Xenopus tropicalis: one gene and its partners. The protein of the gene in region 1 purifies or fractionates together with the protein of each later gene. This does not show direct contact. Links are inferred from orthologs where the notes say so. Each region holds a gene or a part of one and is shown in the gene's direction. Other genes may lie near its edges. The genes, in order: crk, edc4, peak1, nedd9, map4k5, dock5 and asap1.

Region 1 (4,742 bases):
ATCCTCTTGTGTCTTTGACTCTTAAATGAGACATATTGGATAAATGGAAAAAACCCTAACCCTGTAGGCAATTATGAATAATATATGGTGCTGGTTTCCCTTTGGGCTAAACATTAATCCTATCTGTAACAATGGTCCCTTTATTGGAGCTCCCTATAGATCCTATCACTTCTCCGTCCAGTGTGAAATGAAGAGTGGGCGTGTCCTAACGGTCCCTGCCAGAAGCACAGTAGGAGGGGGAGAGCCAATCACAACCCTGCAGTCACACAAGCACAGACAGGCTTCAGTTCCCTATCAGGTCAGCCTAGCTGCTGATTGGTTCCTATCTTATAGTGCAGTGTAGGGAGGGCCACCGGCTCCCCAGCTCATCCAGAGAATTCAGCCAGCAGGAAGTGGAACGGATGGGCGGGGCTAGTGGGGTTTTTGTGGAATTTCTCAATAGATCAGCAGGAAACACAACTTTTTAAAGCACAATCCTTCTATATCTAGAGGAGTATAATTCACTGGTACATTCATAATTTTTATAGGATCTGTCTCCTTTAACTTATTGCAACTGTACCTTGTATTTATGGTTATACTTTGTATTTATCTATTCTATTGTACAGCGCTGCATACATAAGTAGCGCTTTATAAATAAAGATATACATGCATACTTACAATATCCTTACATTTTACCATAGGGGGCAATATTTACTATTTAGTATTTACATAAGAGCCATGATTTTTTTTTTATAATTTGATATTATGATATTGTTGTATATTGTGTTGTGTATTATAAAAACCCCTGTTATAACATGATGAGGATGTAAGATGGAGTCCCTATATATTGGCCTGCTGCTTTCATAAGGTCATAAAACTTTTTGCTGACTTCTAACATCCTTTAATTTTAGCAGATGGTTCATTATTCCCTAAAATACATTTTATTACAATAAAGTTATAAAGAATCAGGGACAGATGAATAGTGGCTTTGGCTCTGGACATATTGCATTGTATGTATATTTTTATTTATAAAGCGCTACTTATGTACACAGCGCTGTACAGTAGAATACATTAATACAAACAGGGGATTATTAAGATAATAATAGATAAATACAAAGTATAACAATAAATACAGATAGATACAAGATAAATACAGTTGCAATAAGAGTCAAAGACACAAGAGGATGGAGGTCCCTGCCCCATAGAGCTTACAATCTATATTGCTCTTGGCCCTGATCCCCCACCAATTTGGAGTAATGGACCTTTGGACCTTGCCATTGCCTAGATAAAACCTGCGACTGTTCACAACAGGCATACATATATGTATTTTATTCCGTGCAAAGGTTTCCCCTACCACGTATCTAATATTCACTTCCAAGACTCAAATGAGACAGTGGTGCTCATTTACGCCAGTAGTAAAATGTTGGTGTTACCAATCACAGCAGTAGTTTAGTTTTGATTAGTCTACCCTAAGATAGAAACTGACAAATACGTGATTAAAACGGCTCATTTCACCCAGCGGCCTGATTACCGAATGGGAGCGCACTAGTTTTGGTCGGCAAGAAGCACAAACACGGCTTTTTAAAAGTCAGAATTCTAACTTGTCAAGAGAACCCGCCCCCTGCGCTCCATAGTCGCTGCTCCAATGACGCATTTCCGGAAGGTGAGGTCAGATCTTTCCTGTGCCGCCATTTCGGGATTGGTGAGGTCGGGATCGGTAGTTAGAAGACTGGTTGCCGCGTCTGGTTTGGGGGCGGCGTCTTTTGCCGCCTTAAGCCGGTGGTAGTATCGAGTACCGGGGCGCTAGGGAGAGGCCCATAGGGGGAGGAAAGCCATGGCGGGCAACTTCGACTCCGAGGACCGGGCGAGCTGGTACTGGGGCAAGCTGAACAGACAAGAGGCGGTCAATCTTCTGCAGGGCCAGCGGCACGGTGTGTTTTTAGTTCGAGACTCCACAACTATACCTGGTGACTACGTATTGTCTGTCTCTGAGAACTCCAAGGTTTCCCACTATATCATCAACAGCGTCAGCAACAACCGGCAGAGTGGGACTGGTGAGTAGGGGCTACATGCAGCGCATGTGAGGTGGGGGCGGCTGCACTAATACCGATAAATAGAATATATTTTGCATTGCATGTGTTAGTGAATTGTAGAGGCGCAGCTGCCAGGCACTTACAGCAGAAAGCCGAGGGCCTATTCCCTTTGCATTTATTTCTCTTATCCAAACTGCTCATAGTGACTAAACACTGGTGTGTGTATATATATATATAGATATAGATATATATAGATATACATTTATAATATAGAAAAATGAAATGCATGCAAAGGTTTTCCGGTATTGGGTGCACTGGGGGCATTAAACTCATTTGTAGGCATTTGAGCTTGTGAGCAATTAGTTTGAGAGCCACAGTCCATCCTTATTATATGCCATTTGTCACTGAGTCTTAGAATTAGAGCCATGTTATATCCCTGTTTAGTTGGGGCGCAGTGGTAGCCCAGTTTTTGGTTTTTAATTACACAGAACTTGTAACATTTTTGATAGTGACTGTCTATGGCAACTCACAGTAGCCCCTCTGGCATTTAACAGAATAGACCAGGGATCCCCAACCTTTTATCCCTGTGAGCCACATTCAAATGGAAAAAGTGTTGGTGAGCAACACAAGCATGAAAAAAGTTCCTGGGGGTGAAAATAAGAGCTATAATTGGCTATTTGGTAGCCCCTATGTGGAATGGCAGCCTACAGGAGGCTCTGTTTGGCATTACACTGGGTTTTTATGCAACCAAAACTTGCCTCATAACCAGAAATTAAAAAATAAGCACCTGCTTTGAGGCCACTGGGAGTTGGGGAGCAGCATGTAGCTCACGAACCACTGGTTGGGGATCACTGGAATAGACAGATTGCCAGTCCAGGCCTCATAGTCATCTGTGTTCCAGATTTACTGAATGGACAACTGCTCCCAGGTCATTATAGTGCAAACAAGGAGTTGGATTTAAAATTGTAAGTTTGTGAGCAGACTGGTTTTTTTTCATATTTCAATTATGTAGAGGCTTTCCGTGATTTCATAGGAAATAGTTGTGTTAGTGGTTTGCATACCTGACCTCAAAGTGTGTGTTCAACTTCCTTAAACAGGAACATCCAACAAAAGGTTTTTCTTTTGATTTGGTGAATGCATCCGTAAAAATCCCTTTTAGTGTTGATAGCAAATGAGAAACCACTGATTCATAGTCTAGGTTGCACTTTGAATGGCTTCCTTTGATTTTCTGAAAAATAAATAAAAATTGCACTGTGGCTCAATCTTTGTTTTTTCCAAAGACACTATTGCAACATACCCCAAGCAAAATCTCTGCGCCAAACGTAGGTAAAATTTGAATTTACAACAAACAAATCAGTCGGTTCCGCAAATCTTGTTTTTCATTTAACTTTGCTGCTTCATTCTGCCCCCCCCCCCCCCCCCCCATGGAATTAAAATGTGTTGAGGAATTCCCCAGTATTACAGTTCCTTATTTTATGGGACAATGCTTGTGGGAAACTATATTGTCACATCATCTTTACTCAACTTATTTGTTTATATAGGTCTTCCACTGTGCTTTTATGCACAATTATTAAGATCTAAGTCCAAGCACCAAAGAGTTTATTGTCCAGATTTGTGCTTTAAGAATTTGGGCACATTTTGTACCCTTATTCCTTTCAGGAACAAAACCCTCGTGCACGCTAAGCAGCTACTACTTTGGAACTGGGCACACACTTTATATGAGAAATGCCCGAACTACCATATAGGGAACAATCACTGGCATACCCATGCAATCCTGACCTGGCAGCGCCAGAGTCTACCATTGGTAGTACATTTCCCTTCAAACCTACAGGAAGCAGCTGCAGGCAGGGAAAGTCATTTAGTTGTGGACTGAAAGATAAGCGTTTATTTTCTTTATAGTGATACAATTAATATTGTGGGCCAGTTGCTGAAACTCGTAAAACAGTTTCTTCCAATCCCGTAACTTTAATAAGAAACGTTTAGTTAATTTGTAAAATCATGAATCATTTTGCTTATAAAAGTCCCCTTAGCACACAGTGGAAACAATTCATGCTTGTCCATGACACATGGATAATTTTCTTAGCAAGTGTGGCCCAATTTCAGAGTAGTGAAGGGCCATCTCTCTCTCTCTTTTTTTTTTTTTTTTTTTTTTTTTTTTTTTGTTAATTGTATGTGGAATAGGACATACTACATTCACACTGTCACCCAATGGTTTAAGTTGTGGGAATAAAGACCAGATTGTGCTCTTCACTTTTACATGTGTGTATTGTGTGTTCCAGTGCTACTTGTTTGCATGACACATCTGCAATGATTCTGAGTATACATTTTGAGTATAAATTACACTATATTTTTACTGGATTACCTGGAACCCATACAAAATACAGTACTTTTTCTTCATTTTTTTTATTTTTAATGTTTCTACCATATTTTAATTAGCATTCTTAAAATCCATGCAGTTTTTTTTTCTTGCCTGGTGGAGAAAATGACTAGTGTTACAATAGCCTTAGAGTGCTAGACCATTTAAACAGCCTTGGCTTAAGGTGGCCACACACGTGGCGATCTGGCGATGTTTCGTGCGACCATCGCCAGATCCGCCACACACCGTCAGGGCTGAAACAGCAGATAAGGAGGTAGAAACAATAGGATTTCTACCTCCTTCTGCCGATTCAGCCCTGACGGCAGATTTTGCTCAGGCGCCTTCTATGGCGCCCAATCAAAATTTTCTGACCT
Region 2 (4,809 bases), on another chromosome or scaffold:
TGTTATAATAAAAACAATAAATAAGTATAAATACACAGAAATTAAGTGCCATGTGGTATGAGTCACAGTTGGAAGAAGGTCCCTGCTCTGTAGAGGGACTCTAAGAGGTCAGGTAATAAACAGGCACAAATTGGAAGGTAAAAGTGCACAAGGTATGGGCTCTTAGGCTGATGCCACACAAGGCGTAGGGATGATATTTTCGGCAAGCGGAAAAAACGCTTGGCGAAAATTCAGCCCTACACCTGATTCTTGTGCCTGCACCCGAATGAATGGAATACGCTCGGGTGCAGGCACATGTAGCCGATATACGCATGAAAACGCGTGAGAATACAAAGTCTCATGTTAAAGGAGAACTATACCCCAGGGCACAAAAAGCACCTTAACTATTATTGCCTAGAACCCCCTCACCTCTCCCTTATCACATAGTTGTTACGTTTAAACGCTGTCCCTATCGCTAACCGCTAGCTAAAAATGCAGAGTAGCGCAGCCGCGTAACTGGCTGACATCTTAGCAACTGTAGACTCTGAGTCTCTCTGCCGATATGAACCTGCTTGCGCATGTGCAGTTGGTGGTAGCAGGAAAATCAGCTTCAACTGTGCATGCGCAAGCAGGGTCCGTGTCGGCGGTGAGACCCAAAGAGTCTTCAGTTGCTAACATGATGTCGGCCAGGTTCGCTGCTGCGCTACTCTGCATTTTTAGGTAGCGGTTAGCGATAGGAACAGAGTTTAAATTTAAAAACTATGTGATAAGGAAGAGGTGAGGGGGGTCTAGGCAGTGATAGCTAAGGGGGCTTTTTGCGCCTGGGGGTATAGTTCTCCTTTAAGGGCAGGATGACACAAAACTATGCAGCCCAATTAATTCCATCTGGTATGTGACAAACTGGCATTCGGAGCAGTTAAATGTCAGATCAGATTTAATATAAGCTATACTTTTCAGGGCAGATACAGGAGATGCAGAAGGGAGCAGGAGCCAATGGTGTGTGCCCCAGGCATTATAATAAAAATAATAAACAGAAATACTTTTAATGTGGCAAAAAGCAACAAACCACCATATAAGCTTGTGTAAAAATGAAATTGTTTGATAATAAATGGGGCTAATTGTAGTTAAATAATTTCTGCTGTATGAACGTACTTAAAACATAAAATTATTGGTATACTTAAGCACCCCTATATATTACGTTACATGATTGAGACCAATTTCTAGCGTCGAAATAACATACTCTAGCTAGAGCTAGAATGTACCTAATCTGTGGCGTATTTGCCAAGACTAGATCGGGAGGAATAATGATAAAAAATATATAAACATATTTATTAAAACACGTGCACCCGGAATATAATTAATCCCATATCTATATAAACTATGGTTAGCGTATGCGAAACTTCATTGGTTGTAAATAGTACGCCCAGGAACCTTCATGCAACTGTTCTTGTTTCCGAGAGGAAGATGGGAATTAAGAACGCAACGGAGCGGAAGTAGAGGTAGTTATTTGTGCTTTTGAGTCTGGTGAGAGAGGGGAACGAAATAAGATTTTAGCGTATTATAGAGTATGGCTTCAGTTACCAGTATTGACGTGGACGCGACTCAGCATCTAAGGGATATCTTAAAACTAGACCGACCTGAAGGTAAGCTTGGTAGGAGTATTTTGGCAGAATGACTTGGTACGTCAGTGGAAGGAAAACCAAGTTTAAAGAGCGGGAGGAAGATGCGCAGTGTGGCGAACACTATAATAGTTAACATTTATTAACAGTATGAACGGCCAGTTTTAGGCAGTAATTGGTAGCTACGTGCTAGTGGTTGATTAAATAGATACAAAATCAATGTACTCTGTAATGTTTTTCACTTCGTTACGGAACTGAGACCACTTTTTCGCTCATAGTTTTCCTTCGTGTAAGAGAAATCACAAATGCCTGTATAGCAAAACTTTTGTTCTGAGTAGTACTAATTCATTTTTTCTGCCTAAGGATAAGTTGGAGGAGTTTGATTTTGTAATCAGTGGAAGGGGGAATGGTGGCCATGTCTAACGTTTTGCCACCTGATAATTCTGGAAAAAGCAGAAGTGATTAAAGAACAGTTTTACTGTGAAGAATAGAAACTGAGAAATGTACTTGTCACCCTAATTTGCTAGATGGCTATATCTTGGAATTTGACTTAGGAACAAAAGAGGACCAAACATAAACTTCATGGTTTAACTTTTTTAGTGCCAGCAAATATTTGATAAGTGTGTGCACTAAACAGCCATTCAATTGTTCAACATTTTTGTTTTTAACTTTAGAGGATACCTGAGGGTAAATATTTAATTCTAGTTAGAAAAGCCACATTTTGTTTTTTAGTACATCAGCTTTCTAAGTATACCTGTAACTGTGTGGCTCTGAATACCTGCAAATTGAATAAAGGTCTTATTTTTCATAATACAGGTATGGGATCTGTTATCAGTAAACCCGTAATGCAGAAAGTTTAATTAAAAGAAGCCCATCTCTAGAATGCATTTTAATCAACAAAAAACAAATCACATTTTTAAAAATGGTTTCCTTGTACTCCGTAATAATGTTGCTTGATCCCAACTAAAATATAATCTAGCCTTAGTGGTGGCAAATCAATACCATTGTGTTTATTTAACGTTTAAATGATTTATTGGTAGACTTAAGGTTTGGTGAACCCAATTACAGAAAACCTTGGAAAATTCCAGGTCCCAAGCATTCTGGAGAACCGGTCCCATGACTGTATAGTGTTGTTTATACATAGGAAACTGGCTAAAGCATTGTGTACAGTGAGGGTTTTAGTGGGCTCCCATAGGGTTCTGTAAAAACTATTTTTTTAATTTGTTCATTAATTACTTATGAGGGGGCACAAAACTTTGTAGGTCAATTAATTCCATACAGGATGTGACCTCTTTTTCAGCAGGATCTCTGCAAACTGGGTGGCTAAGTGGCAGATGAGATTCAGTGTTTGCACCTGGGATATAAAATATACAAGCAACTTATACATTCAATGGGACTGTGTTAGACAAATCCATAATGGTGAAGGGCCTAAAGGGATTGTAGAAACTTGGCTGCAGCAAGCAATGCCAGTCAGCAGCTGCAAGGGCAAACAAGGTTTTGAGTTTTATTAAAAGGGCATACATTCATGGGAGGAGTGGATAATTTTTCTTTACAAACAGTTCCTATCTAGAAGAAAATGCAGTGCTGTTTTGGTCTCAAGTGCTAAAGTAGAATATTATTGAATTAGAGAAAGTTAAAAGAAGGACAAATAAGCTGGTAAAGCACGTCTTTATTTGGGAGGCTGATCCCTAATTTCATTCTGTGTCGAAATGAATGATTTGTGGTAACATGAAATAACACACAAGGCAGAGCCCTGAGTTATTCAGGCCACTGTACGCAGAGGCTTGATGTTTTTGAAACAAAAACAAACTGTTTAAGTCCCCGTGCATGAAAAGATCCAGGTGGCTTCAGGATAAAGATTTAATTGAAATCCAAACAGCTATATTGAATTTTCTAGAAACATGGTATGAGAAGAACAGGGGAACTGAGACAGGGTCTCGACATATGCCAATGGAGATAGGGAATGACCAGGGTGGAACCAGAATGGGCAAGTGTAAAAGGCGTTGGGGTAGGGTTTCAGTGGACATGTATGGCAGGTGTTGGTTGTAAAATGTGTCAAGCTGATGAGTAGACATTGTTTCAGTAAATAATTACCAAGAAGGAGTTATTATAGAACAACTTTTAGGAAGCCACATACAGTGTGACCTTATGAACTAATGTACTTCCATACAATTACCAGTGCTACCACTAGCATGTAGGTTACCCAGGGGTGCTGCTGCCATGTGTGACAGCAGCCTGCAAGTTACCAGGGGCAGCAAAAAGCTACAACTGGTAATTTCAAGAGATGTAATTTCCAATTTTTTAATTGGAATTTTGGCTCTGCTAGTGCATAAGTACATAAGCAGCATTTGCTAATTTTTTCAACTGATCAAGCAGACGGCATACATAATGCAGAAATCTATTCAATAGGCGCATTCAGTGGGAAATGTCAAAACAAAGTTGTCACAGTTTTATAAAAAAAAAAAAAAAAGTTGCCAGCTATATCACACTGCACAGATAGTTTACTTAAATAATACTGTATTTTACTTAAATAACTTTTCAAACACAGGCAAAGCCAGAGTGGGTAAAAAAAAATCTTACAACCTTTTGTAACCTTTTGATGAGCTGGATGCAAAAGTCTTGAAAGACAAACAATTTACCCTAACCCTTTAACTTGAGTTTTTGAACAACAATACAAGTATAATCACTGGAAAAAAAAAGTAAAATAACTAAAATGTTTAAAATAGATAAACAAGTTTTATTGATAAGTAGTCCGTGGCCAAAATCGCTGCTCCGGGAGTGGATTCTTTGGAATTATTTGGGTTGGTGAAGAACAAACCTGGAAAGTGCTTTTCAAGCCCTTTTTGTCTGCTGCCTATGTTACCAAAAAAAACAACAAAACTTCTATTTAGTATTCACTGGCTTGAGTATTGTATAAATCTTTTGCACTCCATTTTTGCCCTAGTCATTCTCTAGATTTTTAATTTTTGGGGAGGTTTTTCGGCTATAAAAATGACTTCAAAGTAGTTTTCCCAACACATTACAAATCATGCTGTTTACAGTTTGAGAAATGTAGTTTACATTTATACATCGGCATATCATAAAACAAAGGTGAATATGTGTGTTATCTATTTAGTAAAGTAAAGTGCAGCGATAACTGTGTAGTTTTTAAATCTTTCAGCTGTAAGCCAAATTGAAGCATTTGCTTTATCAATGCTGACCTTGACTGCAA
Region 3 (4,784 bases), on another chromosome or scaffold:
TGGTTAAAAAATTCTGTCAGCAACGGTGTCCTCAAGCAGGGTATTTGCCCTGGGCCTAGCAGTGCTCTAAAGAGATTGTTCACCTTAAAAGTAAATTTAAGTATGATGTAGAAAGTAATATTATGAGACAGTTTGCAATTGGTCTTTTTATGAATTGTGGTTTTTGAATTATTTTGTTTTTTGTTCAGCAGCTTTCCAGTTGGGAATTTTGGAAGCTGTCTGGTTGCTAGGGTCCAAGTTACCCTAGCAACCGAGCAATGATTTTAAAAAAAGACTTGAATATGAGCAGTAGAGAACCTGAATAGAAAGATAAGTAATAAAAAGTAACAATAACATTGTAGCCTCACACAGGATAATAATTTAAAAACTATAAAAAAATTAAGACCAATTAAAACATTGCCAAAAATTGACCATTCTATAACATACTAAAAGTTGAAGGTGAACTAACCCTTTAAAGCAGCCCTGGACACTATCACTTTTATTTTTTGTATTCATTATTTTTCTTCATTCTTTTTACATATATGAATTTGTATATTTATTCCCAAATGATCCCAAGTATCTGTTACTACAGCCTTGGAAAACAGGGTTCATGCAAGCATCACTCAGACTTCTTATCAACATTCTTGTAGGCTGGAGGACAAAAATATAAAGGGCCCCAACCTATAAGAACATTTCCCCGCCCTCAAGCACTGTGTCATTGAGAAGGCAAAGCTGTTTCTTTGGTGGAAAAATGTTAGTATGTAGGTAGCTGAGGGAAGGCAGAGGGCCAGAATTACAAAAAATCTTGGCAAATATCTAGACTTATAGAAGAATAGTGACACTTTTTGTTAAAATCATAACATTTCACTATTGCTTTAAGTTAGCTATGCAGGCGCAAATAAAGGCTGCTGACCCCTTCGGCCCAGGCTATAAGCCTATCAGCCCATGTATGGTGCCCTCCTAAGAGTTGCCTGACCAATATTCAGCTACAGGGCAAAAACTGCATCAATGCCCTGATGCCTGGTGGGTCTCTGTAGGCTCACAGTATGATCCGTTTGTTGTATACCTTTATGGCCTGGAAATCACACTTTAACATATCTTGGGGTCCCCTTTGCAATGGGGAACCCTGATGGTTCCCTGATTGTCTAGTCAAGCCTTAGGCAAAGCTACAGGATGAGTGCCCTAGTATCTTAGCAAAATTAACATCTGAAAATGAAAAGAAAATGTATTTAATAGATAGAAGTAGAAAAATGAAGGTGCAGTGTAATCCTCAACTGAACAATTCAGTGTGGGATGTATAGCAATAGCAGTGGATGGTATCTTTGTGGGTGCTCAGAATGTGAATAGCATAGGAAGAAAAGGAGCAGCTCTGGTTCATTTCCAAGCAATATAAGCACAGACCATGCCAGGCTAGAGGAAAGCGCGCACAGCTGACTTGCTAGGAGCCCCTTACACAGAGGTTCACCATAAAGGGGCTGTACCTCCACCCCAATCCCTCGGCTTTCAGCCTTGCACTCACTGCGGCCCTTGGAAGCCACACTAAATAAGCTGTCTCTTTCTTCATTCCTCGTAACTATATGATTTGTTTGGCGGTGCCCGCTATATTCCTGCCAGGGTGTGTGTTATTACGCATTCACTTTGTATATCCGTGCATTGTGTGCGCTTTGAGTGTGTATATGTGAAAGCAATGCCTTCCTTTTTCAGGAAATAATTTGCCTGCTGCTGCTCTTCAGGCTCCCTGTAGGGGGAGAGGGAGAGACGGACACACTTACACACACACACACACACACGCACACACGCACACGCTGGCTCTCAGACACAGACAGCAGGCCAGCTAACACACACACATGCACAGATCACACACAGGAACGCCGCACAGATCTGCGACTGCACCCCACACAATGCATATACAGATACACTAGCATCAGTGCCACAGGCCGGCACCTACATCCATCAGGAAGGCTCAGAGAGCAGCCTGACATACACGCAGATGTCACACACAAGCAGGTCTGTCACATTCAGACAGCTCTGACACACGGTTATGTCACATTCAGACACAGCGCTGTCTCATACACACAGATAGAAGTGACAGTCACCGGGCTGAATCACACACTCAGACCTGTCACACATATACACTGCTGCTGATTGCTCCGCTTAACTCTCCCTTCGCCAGGAGAAGATCTACCAGACCCATCACATTCTGGTGAGTACTAAAATGGCCATTTCTTATATTAATGTGTACGAATGTGCGCTGCCGATGTGGGGATGCTGAATGGGTTCCTGGCACAGAACTGGTTACAGACCACAGATTGGACATGCTTTGGCTGCTAAGGAATAATCTTGGGTAGATGTATTCTGGGAAAAGAAAGAAACAGTGCTAGGCTTTGCGCTCTGGCGATCGCGGGGTTAACGTGGCTATCCCGGGACGGAGCAGTAGGGAAGGGAATGAAGGGGCAATGCGCTGCGGATATTGGCCGAGTAGAGTTAAGCAGTGGGTGCTGCACGGGTTTCTAACTGGGCTGTGTTCCTCCTCCCCCCATTATGTCCTGTAAATAGCACATACTTTCCCTGCTCCCAGACTGACCCCCCCCCCCCCCCCCCCCCCAGACATACCGAGCATTCCTGTAACTCTTCCCAGGCCCGACAAGCAGAAGGGATGGCCCTGAAACTGGAAGGCACACACATGTTGGAGCCCATGCTGCTGCCCTGGCGCATCTATACGTGCACACATGCTGTTTGCTCTCCGGCCGCTGTCACAGGCAGATGCTGGCTTCTGTCAAAGCCGCTACAAGGAGCCACACACACAGGAATGCAGCAGCCTGTTACCCACACACACACCAGCTTTCTCTGTATCCGCTACAAAGGCCCACTGAGTACACTGTATTTGTGCTGTATATGCATCACTGAGCTCTGTGTATAAAGAGGAAGTCAGGGGCAACCGCTAGAAAAATAACAGCTCACGGGTTTATTCCTTATCCTGCATAGCTGCCAAGCGTCCCCACATTTCCAAGGCTAACACCTGTTTTTAACATTATCCTTGGAAATGCCTAGGTGTTTTCAAACTGACCAACTGCACATATGTATTTGAATGATGTTTTGGCCAGATAATAAGTTGTTAGTTCCAGCTATAAGGTTTGTAACCTATACTTATGGAGATAGGGTGCCTATGACATAAATAATCGTTCTCATGGTGGCCATTAAGGGTTAGTAATGAGTTAGGGGGAAGTGTGGTACATTAACTCACACAGATATAAGGATCCCTGGAAAATAGTTTCATACGTTGGCCTGTTAGTGTCATACTTCAGGGCCCATTTACTAATATACTGTAAGTGGTAAATTGCACTGGAGTGGTTAGTTGCCAATAGCAACCAATCTTGAATTAGCTTCACACAGTCTTACTATAGTTAGGAAATGAAAGCAGAGATCTGATTTGTTAAGTAGATACTTGCGCTGAAGCAATTTAGTACCTATGTTTTTAAATCAAATCCTTCATGCATATCAGGCAAAAGCAACCAGTGATTTGGCTGGCCAGGATTCTGGGAGTTGTAGTTCAATACTAATTGGAGGGCAGCATGCTTTCCTGTTGTGATGTATATGAAAAATATAAAGTTTGCATACGGAACATAAGAGGAGTGTGTGGGTCTTTAGTAGAAAGTTATCATGCTGAAGGTTTATGCATATTCATTTCCATTACTTATGATGTTCATTGACTAAATTGACTAAGCAACATGAAATAAATGGAACAATGACTTGTAGAATAAAAAGGGGTTAATAGTGATGTTTGGTAGGCCTCTCCCAGGGGAATGCTGCCTCACACCCATGTGTGACTCAGAGGCAGGTCATTAATGTCTAAGGGTCACTCTCTGTGTCCAGACCTTTAATGTCTTCCTTCCTCCATGGACGGAAACAGGTAGCAGAGAATAGCTGAGGCTGCAAGCCTGGTATGACAGTGAAGGCTGGAGCAGAAGAAATAGCATGTGGGGTGGGGGTGAGCGCAGAGTTTAGACAGTCAGGATTATTTCCAAACCAAACCCCCAAATATTGAGTAGCCAAATAGTAACATTCAACCTGCAAATCAAATAGGAAAACCAATGGAAATACAGTAGAACCCCCATTTTAATTTTTTGAAGGGACCAGAAAAAGATGGTGCAAAACTTGGGAAAATGTAAGATCAGGGAAGTTTATTATGTGTTATATATTAGTGGGACCACAAAACAATGGTGTAAAATGCAGGAAAACGTTAAATCAGGGGATGTAAAATTAAAGTTGTACTGTATATATTTAGCAACCCCAGCTGGATTTCTTTGGAGCATTGGCAGTGCTGTGTATGTATGAAAAAGGGGTACTGGCAGGGGGCCCTGTATTCAGTGGATAGATAATGTGGGGGTGGTTGGCACTTCTGCTGCTCCTATACCTGTTCTGTGAAATGAATTATTTGGCATGGAATTAGTCGAGGGGGAGTTTGGCAGTTGGTACTGACACTGTACATGAAGCTTAGTTCTAATCTTAGCATTCTCTGATGGAAGTGCAGCCTGCATTGCATATCTTTCTGTGCAAACATGCCACAATGTAGAGCCCTAGCTGTCACCAGTGCAGCTCATAAAATGCACACATATTACAGTGGAATGGAACCTATGTTTTACATGTTTACACATTTTACACATTTTTCTCTCTTTCGCTTCATCTTCTGTAACCTGCTTTTGTTTCAATGCAACTTTCTATAATGAGTTTCTTTTTTGCCCTTGCAGGTCTTGAGTTGGGTGTCTGTAAAGATCATGTGATTAATGTGTATCCTGTTACCCTGT
Region 4 (4,120 bases), on another chromosome or scaffold:
TATTCATTGACATGTACTTGCAGATCTCCAACTGAAGGCTGCTACACAAATTCTGTATACATGGGGATAGATGGTTGTTTGTATTCACAGAATTGAAAATAGCTTACATATCTAATTGGGACTGGCATGTTTTTGCTTTTGGAGACACAGAGATGGCTGAAAAGCCTAATAGCTGTGCTGTAAAACAGTATTGCATTTCAGAAAGTATGACTGAACTTTGGGTAAGAATAAAATGCATTGACCTCATCTGTACTAACTTAAGTATATCTTTTTATGGTTAGTGGTACTTGGCATAGGAATACAGCTAAGCCTGTAATGATTCACACCCATAATTACACAGTGCTGAGTGCTGTGACTTTTTGCCTGCGTCAGTGCTTCCCAGCTGAATATATGCAGACTTCTGTGTGTATGTGTCTGCTGAGGATATTTAACTCCTAACTTGCCAAGATTAGGTGTAGAAGTAGACCTGTCAAGGTTCAAGACATGATATTATTTAAAGTTACAGGCATGGGTTCTATTATCTTGAATGCTTTGGACCTGGGCTTCTCCATATAAGGGAGTTTGCTGTAATTGGGATCACCATACTTTAAAGGTGGCCATACAAGGGTAGATTTGCTCCTGTATGGGGCCCTCTAACAGGCCTCCCTGACTGATATCTGGGCAAAAATGGGCCAGATGTCTATTGGGCAGGCTTATTTTTTCTGTTGGAACAAGGACCACATTGGCTCATTGATGTGGTCCTCACTTTTTGTATCCCCCTTCATTATAATGCTATCATTTGGCCCAAGGGCCAAACGACTGCAGTAGCACAATATCACCTATCCAAGGTGGCATATTGCCAAACGAGCAAATCTTACTGTGTATGGCCACCTTAAGTAGCTTAGTTATAATCAGGTTAAAGGTGCTTAAAATGGGCACTATAGGAGAAGGCCTTCCTATAATTCAAAGATAATTTGAGATCTATATCCCAAAAAACACCCTATACAGTTATGTATTACTGAGAAGGGTAGGATGTGTTGTATTACTGTATTTTAATTTGTATTTTGTCACCTTGTTTATTAAAATAGTCAACATTTTCAGCCTCATGGAAAATTAACAGTATAATGTGATTTTCATTTTGCATGCAGCTTTTTTCTGTAAGAGAACACATCTGCATCAATTCTGCTTTTCAACTGTTGTGTTCTGTGTATTTACAATCTTTAGGTTAAATGCCAGCCAAGGATGACGCAAGGTTACAGTCATGATTGTACTTCCCGGTGGCAGACAAGCGTCTATGACATTCCTCCTACTCGGCCTCAAGGGGTACGTAGACAATGGATATTTTCAGACTGTTTGAGGTAACCTCGCAGCTGTCCCTAAATATTTTATTGCACTCCCTTAGCATGAAAACACACATGGGGAGCCTGCAGCATTTAAGGTGTTGCTAAACTAACTTTGCCATTATCTTGCCTCAGGCTAATAACGCTTGGAACAAAATTAGTGGGAGGCCCATTTATCAACATCTCATTTTGATTGGTTTTAGAGAAAAAACTAATTTTCTCTAAAACTATAAAGTGATTAACAGCCTTTTAAAAAAAAGCACAAACAAAAAAGACACAAAAAAACACATCTCCCTTGTCGCGGGGCGACTAATCTCCCCGAAATGCCATCCCACCGGCTAGAATATAAATCGCTGGTGGGATAGCATACACGGCCGAAATCGCCACACCGCATATGCCATCCCACCGGCGACTAATCTCCCCATCTGTCACGGCCTTTAGTGTTCTCATATTTGACTGACCCAGAAGATATTCCAAAATATTAGATAGTGTCCTTTAGCGGACTTTTGTAAGAGTGAAAATAATGTAAACTTCTTTGCATGGTCAAGTTACACAGGTTGCTCATTCAGCAAAAGCTAGTAAAACATGGAAGACAAAATAATAAAGGGAAAATAACAATAAACAAACAGTTTTTGATCAAACATACAGCTAGCTGTGCACTTCATGACATAGATCATCGGTTCAGAAAAAAAGCCATTTCGCTCTTCAGTAGAGACGCACTCACTGAAACTCTAAGCATCAATCACAAAAAACATTGTTTAAGTGTCCTTCTTACAGTTACATTTTTATAAAATCTAGAAACCTAATTTTCATTTGTTTTATTGAAGGTGTATGATGTGCCAGCAACTGCGAAAGGTTCAATGTATTCAAGCTCACCCACCAAGGATCAAGGAATTTATGATGTTCCTTCTTCACAAGCGGTAGGTGACAAAGAAACTACGAAGATGCTACACATTCAGTAGTTGTTTTGCAAATAACTTTATTTTGCACTTGAGCTAACTATAAGCATTTATAAGCTGCCCCTTTATCAGTTAATATGTAAAATAATTGTCCTAATTTACTGTTTAATTATGTATAAATATGGGAATGCTTGCATTTTTAGGTCTACAATACCTTACCATCCAACAATGGGAAGATGTATGACTTTCCATCTTCAAGTAAAAAGACAGTAGAACCTACTTATGATGTTCTTCCTCCAAGTTCTACAACCTTTTCCCAGGAGAAAAGCCGCAAAGTGAGCATGGTCGTGTCACCTCCACTAGAAGCTACAAGAAAATCAAGTGTTTATGACTTTCCCCGCAGCCAGCAGACTCAACCTCAAACAGATGATTATGACTTCCCTCGAGGAATTCAGAGTGAAAATTTTGTTTCAGATGGCCAAGACGGAGTATATGACTTTCCCCCACAGGCCTCAGAGAGAAGCAAAGTGGTACAAGACGTAACTGATGGTGTTAATCGCTTGTCTTTCTCAAGCACTGGAAGCACAAGAAGCAATATGTCAACATCTTCCACAACATCTAAGGAGTCATCTGTGACTTCATCTCCTTCCCAAGACCCAAAGTTACTTTTGGATCCAGACACAGCCATAGAAAAACTTTTAAGGTTACAACAAATGGTGGAAGTATCTGTAACTCAGTTAACAGCTTTTGTTAATTCAGAATGGCGCTCTTATACAAACATGGAAAGGCATATCAATGAGATTCATAGTGCTGTAGACCATGTTGAGCAGTCTCTGGGTGAATACCTTCAACTTGCTAAAGGGGCTACAACAAATGCATCTTACTTGCAGGAAAATGGCCTTTATAATAAAATGAGGAGGGAGTTTCAGCGGTTAGATGATTCTCATCATATTCTCACTCAAACATGTCAGGATCTGAACAGTTGTAACTGGTCTATAAATGTGCTTGCTTTCAACAAAGCAAACAACAAATGTGACAGTCTTGAACGTTTTGTCATGGTGGCAAAGACAATCATAGATGATGCCAAGCAACTTACCACCACCATCACTATTAATGCAGAGCTTTTATTTAAGCAGTCAACTACTATTTGCCATAAAAAGAGACCATCGGATTCCATCAGTTTTAGCACAGACTACATGTGCAACATACCTCAGCCTCAGATTATACAAGATGATATACAGAGCAAGATGCTTCCCCACATGTTAAAAGAGCAATCTTCAAAATTCAAAAATCGCGATGGTTCTTTAAAGAGCTGGATGGATGACTATGACTATGTGCATTTACAGGTAAGTCATTAATTTTATATATTGTTGTACATGTAAGCTATTACACTATATTTTGCTGTGCTATAGTAGATTTACTTTATATTGCTTTGGAAATAGTATAAAAGCACTGTTGTCTTTATAAACTGCAGTATATAAATGCCACTATGAGCACCAAAGTGTTAAAAAAAAAAGTGTATTTATTAATTATTATATATTAACTGAAAGTTGAAATCCTCCCTGCCTCCTAAGCAGCAATTAAACATTGTTGTGGGATCAAGACATTACCCAATTTTTTTTTTATCTCTAGATATTCTGCATAACTAAAAAAATATCAATGCATCTTATGGCCAGTATGTACTACATTATACTGTGATTGGGTATATTAAAGAATTGCCTGAACACAAATTAGTATCTAATCAGAACATAGGGGTGGATAAAAGCAAGATGAGAATCAGTCCCGTTTGGCCTTAGCCTAAAGCTGGCCATACACTCACCGATAATATCGTACAAAACCTCGTTCTGTACGATATTTGGTGCGTGTATGGCAACTCGCCGAGGCAACCGATATCGCAGAAGA
Region 5 (4,120 bases), on another chromosome or scaffold:
TATGGGATGGGTTTTGTTTCATTGTCCATTATGGAGGGATTTGTTTAATGTTTATGGCAGCAAGGCAAGTCTGTAGGACAGAAGCAAAGAATCTTCTTTGATTATTTATGCACATTAAATGATAAACAAAGAAATGTAAGAAAGTTAAGGTGGCCATGAACTACTCACCCCATTCACTTATGACCCAGCAACGGGGCCACGTCAGTTAGTTAGACGGAGCCCCTGAGTCAGGCAATAGCAGCAGCGCATCCGGGACCCGCACATCCGGCAGCGCATCCGGCATCCTCCCCCCCCCCCCCCCCCCCGTGCATGTGTAAGTGCCCTAGTCGATGTGTAAGTACCTGAGTAGACGGAGCCCCCAAGTCAATAGCAGCATTGCATCCATCACACTCACATCAGGTAGAGCGAATCCGGCATCCACCACACCCGCGTGCATGTGTAAGTTCCCGTACATGCGCACGTGTGTCCGTGTACATGCATGGGGTGGCGCGAGACGAATGCCGGATTACTCGAGTATAAGCCGAGGGTTCCTTTTTCAGCACGTTTTCAGTGCTGAAAAACTCGGCTTATACTCGAGTATATACGGTACTTGGCCTTGGTCCTAGGTAGCGGTTACTAAAATCCAAGGAAGGAAATTAATCTTGTTGGCTCCTTCTTAGGCAGTGCATTTGGGTATAGTCATTTAAAATATTACAGATTCAAGGCGGCCATACATGTTAAGATTTTTCTCTCCCTAACAACCAATTTTAGTGCGATTCTAAGAATCTGTCAAATTATCATAAATAATAGGTTACTGGGCAATGAACGATCGCACATCTAGCAATTTTTCATCTGACATCGGTCAGAAAATTGATTGAGCGGGTTCCAAAATTTTCGTTGTTAGCAATGAAATTTGCCCATTGTCCAATTGTTTGCAGGACCAAGTAGGTAGTTTTCCTAGTTTTCCTAGCTTCAACTAGACCATGTCACTTGAAATGGTAGTTTTCGTTGAAGGACAAATCATATTTTTAAACAATCATTTCAGGATCAGCTTGGTCCTTAGATAACTAAAAGATCTTTTAAAAATCTTAACCTGTATGGCCATCTTAACATCTAGAGGTCTGTGTTGGACCACCCTCGTAACTGACTGAATAGACTTGGCTTCCCCATTGAACCTAATAGCAGCTCCATTCTTGGGTTGTTTAATTTGCTTTTAATAGCAATTATCAGTGGAAATATTGTTTTTTTATGGTATACTGTACACAGGTGTTTGAAGTGTTTTAGAGGGCAGTTAAACATAAACTTGATTTTTACATGTGAAGTCTGTAATATTAATTATTCAACACAAGCTCTTAAAACTTAAAGAGAACATAGATTACTTACTTTTATCAGATGTATATCAGGGTGGCTGCATACAAAAGTGTGACGTATCCATCTGAATGGACCTTTAGTAACCATAGCAAAAACCCAAAGTAACTGAACTACCTGTATTTATGAATGCTGTAAATTTCTTGTAATACATTTCTGGTTGTCCCTCAATGTCTCTAATTGTTTAAACATCAGAAATGGTGTCACATTCAGTGTTTCACCATGTGGGTACATAACCATTTTATTTAACCAAAAACACAGTGGGACCAGGAAAAAATACTGTAAAATCAGGAAAAATTTTAAATCAGAGAGATGTGATGTGATGTTAAAGCATTATTTTTTAAGTACTCAAAGGATATAAGCACAGGAGTCAGTTTTACTTTGAAATAGAATATTCACTGTATTAATGATAAGGGGTAAGCAGTGCAGCATTAATGTTACACAATGGAGTGGCATGTGCAAGACCTCACTCTCAGATGCACAACCAAAAGCATTAAGTGATTTGTGCATGACTGTATGAGGGGCAGACTCATTGCAACTGACTAGTTACTGGCAGAACCTCTACAACGTATTCATCTGGTAAGATATGAAATGTGGGAAAACTTAAAATCAGGGTATGTAAAATTGGGGTTTTACTATAGTGCCCTTACAATGCCTGTATATAGTAAAGAGGAAGGGCAAGACGTAATATGTAAAGAAAAAAGAATAGTCTTTTAAAGTTGTGCAGGCACTTTTCTATAAAATAGTTAATGTTTAATATTAGTAATAATTGCATAAATTATCTCAAATGTGTAGCAGAAGTGAGAATCCTTCTGCTGTAATTCAGTTGGAGTGTGTGTGTGTGGCTGTGTGTGTGTGTGGCTGTGCTAGGCATTAAACAATAAAACTGCATAGAATTTCTCACTACACTAAGAAATATTTCAATTTTTCTTGCAGCCTCTTTCCATGGTTCGACATACCATCCGTTCTACAAGCAAAGCTGCAAGAGCTGAGAGGACAGCCTCGGAACTAAATTGTAAGTCTTGTTGCAGAACTGCAATGGTATTATCAAACTTTGACTGTTCAGTTGCTCTAAACCACTTTTGAAGAAGTGCTTCCTAAACCATTGAAGAACAATACAACATTTGTATAATAGTTTCCTTATTCTGGTTAAATTTTCATCGTATTTAACTATAATGTATTCTGCCCACTCATGTCAGCTACATAAATCATTACAAGCAAAACATGTTTTAAAAAGAACGCTTGTGCAGTAAGGAGGGGGATTGGAACTATAAGAATGCAGATTATTCATAACATCCTGGGATAATCTTCTTAAGGCATGCTTGTCTCTATTGTAGATTACCACCTATTTTTAAGGCAAATATCAGATTAAAGATTTACAGACACAAAGTAATGAATTATTTTGTATTACATCCTAGCATATGATTTCTTAAGAATTATTTTTTTTTAAAAAAAAGCATAGATTTTTGATTGCTGTCCACTTTTTTAATGGCATTGCGGAGTCAGACCTTTACTATGTCCGTATCTCTTTACCTCATGTAAGTAAATGACTGCTTGGTGAGTCTACATCTGGTCTTTGGTAACTCCTTTTCTCTTCATAGTTGACAAACTGCAGTTTGAGCCACCTTTAAGAAAAGAGACTGAAGCCAATGAAGGAATGGTAAGTATGGCAAACCTAATACGTATATATAATATGTTTCATTTATTGTGGTGGCAGTGACTTAAACCACTATTCATTGTCATCACCGTAAATGAACCTATGCCAAAAACATCCTTTATTATTTAGTGATGCAGATTTTATACCCTGTTCTGTGGAAATCACTTGCCATATAATTCCTAGGAGAAAGCATTATAAGGAAGCCAGACATCCTGTCTACCTTTCCATGAAAAAGGATATGAAGCAGCTGCCAGTAGTTCCATTTGTTTTTGTCCAAAGTTTTCCTAAAGACTGTTGCAATCAAATGTGTGTTTCTGCTTTTACATGCATTAATATTTTGAGTGCAGCACTATACACAAACTAATGCTAACAATGTTGCAGCCTTTTCCTGTAACTTCTAAAATTATAACAAATAATTTAGACTTATAATTGATCTGCTTTTGTAGTTGCTAAAGTCACTGCTATCTGCTTTTTATGAAAGCTGGTATAGTAGCTGTAGATGTAATAGCTGTATGACTGTTAGTTTATACCCTGAACAGTGACCGGCTAAATTACATAAAAAGTTGTCTGAGTTTATAACAAAACCACAATTAATCATGTGGCTGACATTTTGCATGACTGCTTTCTATAAATAATCTTACGAACTGAGGTATGGCACATGTAATTGTTTACCTTTGATTGAGCTATGGGTCAGATATTTTCAGATGAGTGGATTGACATGTTTGCATACAAAAAAAGGCTTTCATATAACTCATGCTCAGCATCTGACATAGACATACAGACGATGCCCTTTTTTATTTGTAAACTCACAGAATGCTGCAAAAACACACAAATAACGTTTCTTCATATCTGTGCAACTCAGTCAATTCTGAACCACAGGGGTTCTAAATAAAAGATGCAATTGATGCTTAATGTGAAAGGGAATGAAGTTCTGGCCTTTTTTTTTTTTTTTAATACTTTTGCAGACAAATACCCGCAGGATCATGCAGCAGTCTATTCTACTTGTTTTTATTTTAGGGTTGCAGCAGAGAGAATGATTTTGGAGCTCAGTGGATCTCCTTTGCCAATGGTGCCAACAATGAGTGAGTAAAACAAACACCATTTTTGTTTGTTTCA
Region 6 (4,120 bases), on another chromosome or scaffold:
GGGTTTCATACATTGGACATACAGAGTAACATATAAAGCAATCAGTAACCGATACAAGAGGTGAAGAGGGCCCTGCCCAAAAGAGCTTACAATCTACAATATCTCCACTCTCTTTCCCTTTAGTTCCTCCAAGATACTTTGGATGCTCTTTTTAACATCATGATGGAGACCCCAGACAAGGAGAGCTGTGATGTTCTTGTGTTTGATGCCCTGGTGAGCTACCAGTCTGTGCTTTCTACATGTTATTCTATCCTCTTGGTACCCTCCTTGTCTTGCCATTTTCTCTGTTATTCTGCTTTTCTTCATGTATCTCTTTTCTTTCACTTTTCTCTAGGTGTTTATTATATCACTGATTGCAGATATTAAGTTCCAGCACTTTAACCCTGTCCTAGAGACGTATATCACAAAGCATTTCAGCACCACGTTGGCTTATGAGTAAGTTAGTTGGTTCTTTTGGGCGGTGAGTTGGCCAGATTTAATTTAAAGATTTAATTACTGTAAAGATGTTTTAAGCTAATGAATAATTTATTGATGCTTTTGGTTCGATATCTTTGTAGCAAGGAAGCAAATGTAGTCTGGAGGAATAGTATAGAGATGATGTGCCTCCATGCACAGAACTTTCTATATCTGCCCTATGGCATATAGAGTTTCACCGCAAGTCTCACCCTAATTGACCTTCAAAGTAGGTTTTAAGCGTATTTAAGATGTCAAATTGGTATATTTTCCAAATCCTACCCTAAGTGGTGTTCTTACTTAGCAACTCCAGTGCTGCTCCAGCCCCCCCAGAGATTGTAAATCTCTGCATTTAGTCCCTTTGTGATCTTGGCTGACACACTCATACTTCATATACTTAGGGGGTGGAAGGATTGTTCACCTTGCCAGGCTTAATTTGCTGATGAGCTTCTAAAATAGTGTCTGGGTTTCCAGCCTCATTAATGAGATATATATATATATATATATATATATATATATATATATATATATATATATATATATATATATATATTATAAATAATATGAAATGGCTTGCTCAATATCAAAGTGCCACATCAATATGACGACTTATGTTCTAGATCTTATGTACAGACCTTCAGACAGTGGTGAATTAGCTAAGAATTGTGGGTGGTTGGACAGCCCTGTGCTAGGCTAGATAAAGGTTCCTCTTGATATCCCTTAAAGCAAACATTAACCTTGTCTTCTTTTTCCTCCCTCTTAGGAGGTTAATAAAGGTCCTTAGTTGGTACGTGAGAAGTGCGGATGATCCCTGCCGTCAAGAAATGCTGTTCTCTTCCCTCAAAGCCATAAAATACCTGTTCAGATTTATTGTCCAATCACGTATCTTGTACCTGAGGTAAGGATTATAACTGCAATGTCTGCCCATGTTGTGCTGCATTTTACACTTTAATGCCCCCATATTTCTATTAAACAGGTGCTATAGATTACTTGAAGGTCAACTTTGGGTCTGTGGGGCCTCTAGTTGGGACAGTTCTGCTCTTATCGTTGTTGATACACGGAATCTTTTTCTCAGTTTGCCCTTGACCTTTCTGTTTTAGGTTTTATGGTCAGGGCGAGGGCCGGGATCAGTTCAACGATTCAATTCGCCAGCTCTTTCTGTCTCTGAATGAACTGATGGACCGACCGCTGGACAAGGCTGTGAAGATAAAGGTCAGTTTCTCATAATAGGGATGCCAAGCTTCCTATCTCAGACAGGGCCAAATGTGCTCAGTGCTGTCCTACTGTCTTACAGGCTGCTGCTCTTAAATACCTGCCTGGGATCATAAACGACCTGAAAACTGTCTTCGACCCAGTGGAACTCAGGTAAGATAAAATGCACATCACACCTTAACAGTGTATTATTTAACTGTATACTCATACACAGACTTAAAGTAACAAATGCCCCATATGGATAACCTAAAACCACCTTAACAGTGGTCTCTCCTCAACTATTGCTCCATGTGGCACAGTCCAGGCTCCATTTCTTACATAAACCCTCCAGATAGTAGAGGTCATACATCTTTTAACCATGCAACATCTCCTACATTCATATATTCATATTTTTTTTTCCTGTGGTCAGTCGCTCAGATTCAGACTTTTTTGTGTGAAACAGGAAGAACTTGGTTAAGGGTGCTATTATTTATAGATTTTACAGTAAAACCCATATCCTTTCATTTTCTGCATTCTAAACCTAATTGTAACATAAAAACATTGTTTCAGTGTCCTTTTTGCAAAGTTTGTGCAAAGTGTCCCCGCAGACCAACTCGTCCATCAAACTCTAACGTGTATGAGCAAAGTGGTGGAAAGTGATCTCTTCCTGCAGCCAGGTCAGTATGGAAACCAGCACGGCCAGCATGTTGTCAACTAATACTAGAACACGGTGGTTTTTGTGATCCTAATGCCAGACCATAAGGGTATTCATTTTAAATTCCTTCTTTCTTGCTTTTCTATTTAAATTTTAACCCTTTTTAATGAGTAAATAATAAAGGTTAGATTTTATTATTAGGTGTGCCAGTTCGTTACATGTGTTCTTTTCATTTACTTTATAGACCATAGAAGTAAGCAAGACTTTCTCTTTTTACACTGTTTCTTCAGAATGCAGAGATGCTCTACAGCCTCTTCTCATCGACCAGCTTAGCGGGCAGCTGGATGATAATTATGCCAAACCTGACCATGAAGCTTGTGGGCATCTCTTGAGCAACATAATAGAAGTCCTGCAGAGCAAGGAGGTGGTGAGTGAAGGGAGCTGAGCATTGCTGAGGAGATCAGGATTGGTTGGAAACCAGATCTACTCAACAGCAGCAGTTGAATGGGGGGGCAGAGATCAATGGACAATAAGCAGTAGGAGGCTTAGGACATACTACCTACTGTGTTTATTATGTTAATTTCACCTTAGTCTCTCTAAAATATTATTATTGATCTGCTGTCTCTACTCTCCAGGGGGAAACATCACTCCACATTCAGCTCATCATGGAGCGACTGCTTCGAAGGATAAATAGGACAGTGATTGGCATGAGCCGACAGTCACCGCATATAGTAAGGCAGTGTTTGTATAGGCTACTGGTTTGGGCAGGGGTGTGTGGGCTAGGAAAAGTGTGGGGGGGGGCAGGTTGAGCCAGGGAGTAGGGGGCACTAGGTTATGAGGGTGCCAGGCTGGGGCAGGAAATGTTAGTGATGCCACGGTATGAGACCATGACAAGGTTGCACTTGATTGGATGCCATACTAGCTGTTTGTGATACAGTTATCCTATTATATAAGCTGTTGGTGAGTGACCCTGGCATTGCTAAATAATATGTGATACCTTGTGTCTGCCCTGCCCCCTTTTCCACACTCACAGGGCTGTTTTGTGGCATGTATGACTGCTCTTCTAAGACAAATGGATGATTACCACTATGACTACTACATCAGCACGTTCCGCACCCGACAAGACATTATTGTAAGTTCCCCTACTTACTTGCATACAGTGGGCCAACTCTCTGCTATGCAGGGGCTTCTGGATTCCCACTCAGCACTTAATTCTCTCTTTCTCTCACCCATTCTTACCAGGATTTCCTGATGGAAACATTTATTCTCTTCAAAGATCTGATTGGGAAGAGAGTTTACCCCAAGGACTGGATGCTGATGACAATGACACAGAACAAGTTCGTTTTCTCACTCTTCCCATTTCCTTTTTGTGTTACTGGGCTTTTCACTAAACCCAATATTATGTAGCTCTCTTGCCTTTCCTATGATGTAGACTGGGATCTTCTGTGTCCTTCAACATAGTAATGTGAATGGGAATCTAATGACCATGTTTTCCCTGCAGGGTTTTTCTCCGAGCCATGACCAGATTTGCTGCAGTTTTGAACAAACTGTTTCTAGATGAGAGCAGCTTTGAACTCCAGGTGAGACGAGTTTCTCAGCACAAAGGGGACATTGAGTTTTTGAAGCTGGGCTGATTCGAACAAAAGGAATAATTATTTTAAAGTAGTATGTGGAGTATGTAATATGCAGTCACAGTGGAGTTTTCTGGCTCTTAGTAATAGAATTAATAGAATCATATAAGAGCATTGTTGCCAGGATCAGACTTGATAATTCTGGCAAAAGCCAGAGAGACTGCTGTAAGATGCCCTAGACAGTCACTAT
Region 7 (4,120 bases), on another chromosome or scaffold:
TTAATAACGTAAACCTTCATTTAAAAACTGCATTTTGTGTTCAATTATGTTATCTTTGACTAATAGTTAAATGTGTTTGATGAGCAGAAACATTTTGTGTGACAAACATGCAAAAGAATAAGAAATCAGGAAGGGGGCAAATAGTTTTTCACACCACTGTATATATATATATATATATATATATATATATATATACAGTCCCAAAATCGGCACTCACCAAAATAGCGAATTAGAACCGGGTGCTAACCATAAATTAACATATTCTCCTTCAGAAAGCACTCACGGTATTTGCGACAAAAAGCGAGTATTTATTTACACAAAAATGTCTACGCGTTTTGATCCATATAGGATCGTCATCAGGACGTCCTATATGGTCCTGATGACGATCCTATATGGATCGAAACGCGTAGACATTTTTGTGTAAATAAATACTCGCTTTTTTTCACAAATACCGTGAGTGCTTCCCGAAGGAGAATATATATATACACACACACACACACACACAAAGTATATATCTGTTAGTATCTATGTTGCTTTCATTCTAAATCAAAGAGAAACAGTTAAAGCCAGCGATCTGTATGTTGCAGCCCAATGGCTCCTGTGAGTTGCACGGTTCAGCTAAGGATTCTGGGAGCAGTAGTTATTTAAAATAATTGTCAGCAGCAGAAACACTGGGATATTCTTCTGTCTTTCTTTTCCAGCTTGCTGCTCTCTCTTCTCTAAGGCCTTTATTTTATTGCAAATTTGCTTTCAGGCAATCGCCGGCACAATATACATTATTTACCTGCAGGGGTGTCTTCCCATTCCTATGTCATTAAGTAGACAAATATACTAGCATGAAAGCTGCCATACTGCTGGAATAAAACTAGCACCTCTATTGGGGATAAGGTCATGTAGAAAACATTTCAGTAAGATACCCCTGCTTATAAATACTGTATATTCCCTCTCTAAAGGCCATTTTGGCTGATACTCTTTTTGTGGTCAGTTTTACATTTATAAAATATTTATTTATGTATATTTATCTCCGGCAGGTAATGACTTGGGCCCGAGTGCTGCAGACAGAACTCTAAATAAGTTTGAGAGATTGTCACAGTCATCAGGGTAAGTCATTAACATCTGGTTTTAAGTTGAGGGTCTCATTCACTTTAGTCAGAGAGTAAAAAGATGAAGAATAATTCAGTTTGTTTTGCAGGAAATGTTTTTCTTTGTGGAGAGGAACCTGGAAACATATATATAATTTGTACTTTTATGTTTAATTTGTTATTTTAGCACAGGAACAACAAAGACTGCATTAGGCCCAAGAGTCCTACCAAAACTACCTCAGAAAGGTTAGTCTTTCTACAGTTTGTCTTCTCCTCCTTTCCTTCCTGTGTCTTATATGTAAAATGTGTGTGGGCACATTATCCCTTATAATATAACTCAGCCGTCAGCCTTGTGCCTTTATATGGGCACAGAACCCCTCAGTGACTGCTAATATCCTTATCATTTACAGTAGGGGGTACATTATCCCTTATAATACATGAGTGATACTCATATGTAAAATAGGATAAAGGCTAATTGTCTATACAGTGATTGTTTCTGAGATGTCTCATTATCCTTCTTTGTTTGTCCCCAAAGTGGCACTTAGGAAAATAGACACCACTCATCATCTCTCAATGGATAAGTATAACCAGCAACCCGAAATCTTCCAGAAATCTCCCCAGCCTGGAGATCTGCCTCAGAAGCCACAAATTGCAGATCTTCCTCCGAAACCGCAGCCTTTGGATATCGCCCAGAAACCACACGTCGGAGATCTACCTCCCAAGCCCGGAGAATTGCCTCCTAAACCTCAGCTAGGAGATTTGCCCCCGAAACCGCAAGATTTACCTCCAAAGCCACAGCTGAAAGATCTTCCGCCCAAGCCCAACCTGGCAGAGGTGATGTGCAAAACTCCTGTTGCGGATATAGTCCCCAAACCTCATACCAATGAGGCCAATCAAAATTCCCAGCCGGTGGATGCGACCCATAATGCACAGCCCACGGACCAAACCCCTGTCCAGAAGCAAGTTCCAGAAACTTCCAATAATGGCCCACCGCCTCTTCCAGAAACACCCGTGCCACTTCCCCGAAAGATAAACACAGTAAGTTCTGTGCTTAGTCAGCATTTCGTAAAATGTGCAGATAAATCACAATCAATAATCATAGCAATGAGGTGCCCTACAACCCAGGTTGAAGATCTAGAACAGCATCATTGTCCGGAACAAACTGACTTTTTTTTTTTCTTTTAAAGGGGAAGAATAAGCTTAAACGAGTTAAAACAATATACGACTGCCAAGCGGACAATGATGATGAACTCACATTTGCGGAGGGGGAAGTGATTATCGTCACTGGAGAGGAGGACCAGGAGTGGTGGGTGAGTATCCTGTAACCATGAGATACACTATAGGGTGGGATAATTCTATGATACTGCTGTATATAAGCTGTGGCTAAAGGAATAGCTACGGGTTTGGCACTGTAACTACCACCAGTCACCACAGCCAATCAGCAAAACAATGGGAAGGGAGCTCAGACTAAGGCACACTTTACTGCTGCGCTGCAAGTTGGAGTGCTATCCCCCCTCCCCCCCAGCAGCCGATCAGCAGAACAATGGGAAGGGAGCAAGGTAGCAGCTCCCAGTAGGTATCAGAATAGCACTCAATAGTAAGAAATCCAAGTCCGGCTTGGGACTCCTCCAGTTACATGGGAGTAGGAGAAACAATAGGTTAGCTGAAAGCAGTTCTAATGTGTAGCACTGCCTCCTTCTGAAAGCTCAGACTCAGGCACACTATACTGCTGCACTGCAAGTTGGAGTGATATCCCCCCCCCCCCCCCTTCTCACCCCCAGCAGCCGATCAGCAGAACAATGGGAAGGGAGCAAGATAGCAGCTCCCAGTAGGTATCAGAATAGCACTCAATAAAAAGAAATCCAAGTCCGGCTTGGGACTCCACCAGTTACATGGGAGTAGGAGAAACAATTGTTTAGCTGAAAGCAGTTTGCTAATTATGTCCGTATTTGTGATTGTCTATTAATCATCTCATTTTGTGTATTTACTGCAGATTGGGCACATCGAAGGCTTCCCGGACAGGAAAGGAGTATTCCCTGTGTCCTTCGTCCACCTGTTGACTGAATAATAAGCAAAGCATATCTGCCCCCCCGCTGCAATCCGCTCTGTGCTCCACTCTGTGTATATAAGCTGCTGTTACACAGTCCATTTCATCCCAAACCTTCATCTTGTGCTGAACTCTATATGTGTATTGTCAGTGTACAACGTCCTTCTGCCTTTGCCAGTATTACAGTAGCCCAAGGGGGACACTTGGAAGCCGTCCGTGGCCTCTGGGCAAGCTGTGATCCATCCCTGCCAACATTCCCCATCTGGGCTGTCTCCGTTCAACACTATATATCTGCCGGGGAAACCGCTTCTCCATTGCCCGGACCTGCCAACAAGCCCCCCCCCTGTATGAACACAACCAGTGACTCTAGGTATTTATTGTATCAATGGCAGAATTCCACGTAGATTTTAATTATTGATGGTATTAATGTGCCCTGTGTCTGTTCCCTGTCATTGGCCGCCTCCATGCCGTTACTTTGCTACAAGTAGTACAGAAAACAAAAGCTATATTTCTATCTAAAGACTTCTTTTGTTAGAAGGATATACATATATAAATATATATATACACTCACACACACACATATATATATCTCTAAATGACATTTGCGGTTTGTTTGGTCGGACTCAGACGAATGAGAGCGATATTAGTCTGTTTACATTATGCATGCATTTCTTACCCGATTCCGGCATACTTGAACCTGCCTTTACGGAAACAGGAATTTCATTGTAGCCCTAAATGGGGCCAACGGGGGGAGTCACGGGCCATCGCAGAGATTCTATTTTTTCCCCCCCATGTGAATAGCCACATGGAACAGACAGTGTTAAATATGGCGTCGAGCCCTCTCTCAGTAATAAATATCATTAGTACCGCGGTTATGTACAATTAGCATTTCCTTTATTTTGTATATAATTTAATCTGTACCATAAATTATAAAAAGTAGGGTGACTTTTATGTATATGGCTAGTGATAGAGAAGCTTATTGGTAACAGAA

The links.
Region 2: the proteins of crk (region 1) and edc4 purify together in Homo sapiens (affinity purification with mass spectrometry; 3 studies listed by BioGRID and IntAct, with this or other methods). This does not show direct contact. The link is inferred for Xenopus tropicalis from reciprocal best matches to the Homo sapiens genes CRK and EDC4.
Region 3: the proteins of crk (region 1) and peak1 purify together in Homo sapiens (affinity purification with mass spectrometry; 4 studies listed by BioGRID and IntAct, with this or other methods). This does not show direct contact. The link is inferred for Xenopus tropicalis from reciprocal best matches to the Homo sapiens genes CRK and PEAK1.
Region 4: the proteins of crk (region 1) and nedd9 purify together in Homo sapiens (affinity purification with western blotting; 3 studies listed by BioGRID). This does not show direct contact. The link is inferred for Xenopus tropicalis from reciprocal best matches to the Homo sapiens genes CRK and NEDD9.
Region 5: the proteins of crk (region 1) and map4k5 purify together in Homo sapiens (affinity purification with mass spectrometry; 4 studies listed by BioGRID and IntAct, with this or other methods). This does not show direct contact. The link is inferred for Xenopus tropicalis from reciprocal best matches to the Homo sapiens genes CRK and MAP4K5.
Region 6: the proteins of crk (region 1) and dock5 purify together in Homo sapiens (affinity purification with mass spectrometry; 3 studies listed by BioGRID and IntAct, with this or other methods). This does not show direct contact. The link is inferred for Xenopus tropicalis from reciprocal best matches to the Homo sapiens genes CRK and DOCK5.
Region 7: the proteins of crk (region 1) and asap1 purify together in Homo sapiens (affinity purification with mass spectrometry; 3 studies listed by BioGRID and IntAct, with this or other methods). This does not show direct contact. The link is inferred for Xenopus tropicalis from reciprocal best matches to the Homo sapiens genes CRK and ASAP1.

The regions. Positions count from the first base shown.
Region 1 is NC_030678.2:46,102,545-46,107,286, reverse strand, and holds the start of crk (adapter molecule crk), read left to right. Parts: upstream 1-1,685; 5' UTR 1,686-1,813; coding exon 1,814-2,033; intron 2,034-4,742. UniProt on the Homo sapiens protein: Involved in cell branching and adhesion mediated by BCAR1-CRK-RAPGEF1 signaling and activation of RAP1.
Region 2 is NC_030680.2:41,312,068-41,316,876, forward strand, and holds the start of edc4 (enhancer of mRNA-decapping protein 4), read left to right. Parts: upstream 1-1,484; 5' UTR 1,485-1,546; coding exon 1,547-1,622; intron 1,623-4,809. UniProt on the Homo sapiens protein: In the process of mRNA degradation, seems to play a role in mRNA decapping. Component of a complex containing DCP2 and DCP1A which functions in decapping of ARE-containing mRNAs. Promotes complex formation between DCP1A and DCP2.
Region 3 is NC_030679.2:92,898,513-92,903,296, reverse strand, and holds the start of peak1 (inactive tyrosine-protein kinase PEAK1), read left to right. Parts: upstream 1-1,487; 5' UTR 1,488-1,594; intron 1,595-1,683; 5' UTR 1,684-2,182; intron 2,183-4,727; 5' UTR 4,728-4,784. UniProt on the Homo sapiens protein: Probable catalytically inactive kinase. Scaffolding protein that regulates the cytoskeleton to control cell spreading and migration by modulating focal adhesion dynamics. Acts as a scaffold for mediating EGFR signaling.
Region 4 is NC_030682.2:90,770,648-90,774,767, reverse strand, and holds part of nedd9 (enhancer of filamentation 1), read left to right. Parts: intron 1-1,203; coding exon 1,204-1,302; intron 1,303-2,146; coding exon 2,147-2,239; intron 2,240-2,421; coding exon 2,422-3,564; intron 3,565-4,120. UniProt on the Homo sapiens protein: Scaffolding protein which plays a central coordinating role for tyrosine-kinase-based signaling related to cell adhesion. As a focal adhesion protein, plays a role in embryonic fibroblast migration.
Region 5 is NC_030684.2:92,952,263-92,956,382, reverse strand, and holds part of map4k5 (mitogen-activated protein kinase kinase kinase kinase 5), read left to right. Parts: intron 1-2,283; coding exon 2,284-2,362; intron 2,363-2,948; coding exon 2,949-3,007; intron 3,008-4,021; coding exon 4,022-4,086; intron 4,087-4,120. UniProt on the Homo sapiens protein: May play a role in the response to environmental stress. Appears to act upstream of the JUN N-terminal pathway.
Region 6 is NC_030679.2:127,714,166-127,718,285, forward strand, and holds part of dock5 (dedicator of cytokinesis protein 5), read left to right. Parts: intron 1-123; coding exon 124-213; intron 214-334; coding exon 335-435; intron 436-1,216; coding exon 1,217-1,351; intron 1,352-1,553; coding exon 1,554-1,665; intron 1,666-1,747; coding exon 1,748-1,818; intron 1,819-2,214; coding exon 2,215-2,321; intron 2,322-2,589; coding exon 2,590-2,726; intron 2,727-2,934; coding exon 2,935-3,030; intron 3,031-3,332; coding exon 3,333-3,431; intron 3,432-3,541; coding exon 3,542-3,636; intron 3,637-3,800; coding exon 3,801-3,879; intron 3,880-4,120. UniProt on the Homo sapiens protein: Guanine nucleotide exchange factor (GEF) for Rho and Rac. GEF proteins activate small GTPases by exchanging bound GDP for free GTP. Along with DOCK1, mediates CRK/CRKL regulation of epithelial and endothelial cell spreading and migration on type IV collagen.
Region 7 is NC_030682.2:142,077,251-142,081,370, reverse strand, and holds part of asap1 (arf-GAP with SH3 domain, ANK repeat and PH domain-containing protein 1), read left to right. Parts: intron 1-1,031; coding exon 1,032-1,101; intron 1,102-1,269; coding exon 1,270-1,328; intron 1,329-1,617; coding exon 1,618-2,120; intron 2,121-2,269; coding exon 2,270-2,392; intron 2,393-3,075; coding exon 3,076-3,150; 3' UTR 3,151-4,120. UniProt on the Homo sapiens protein: Possesses phosphatidylinositol 4,5-bisphosphate-dependent GTPase-activating protein activity for ARF1 (ADP ribosylation factor 1) and ARF5 and a lesser activity towards ARF6.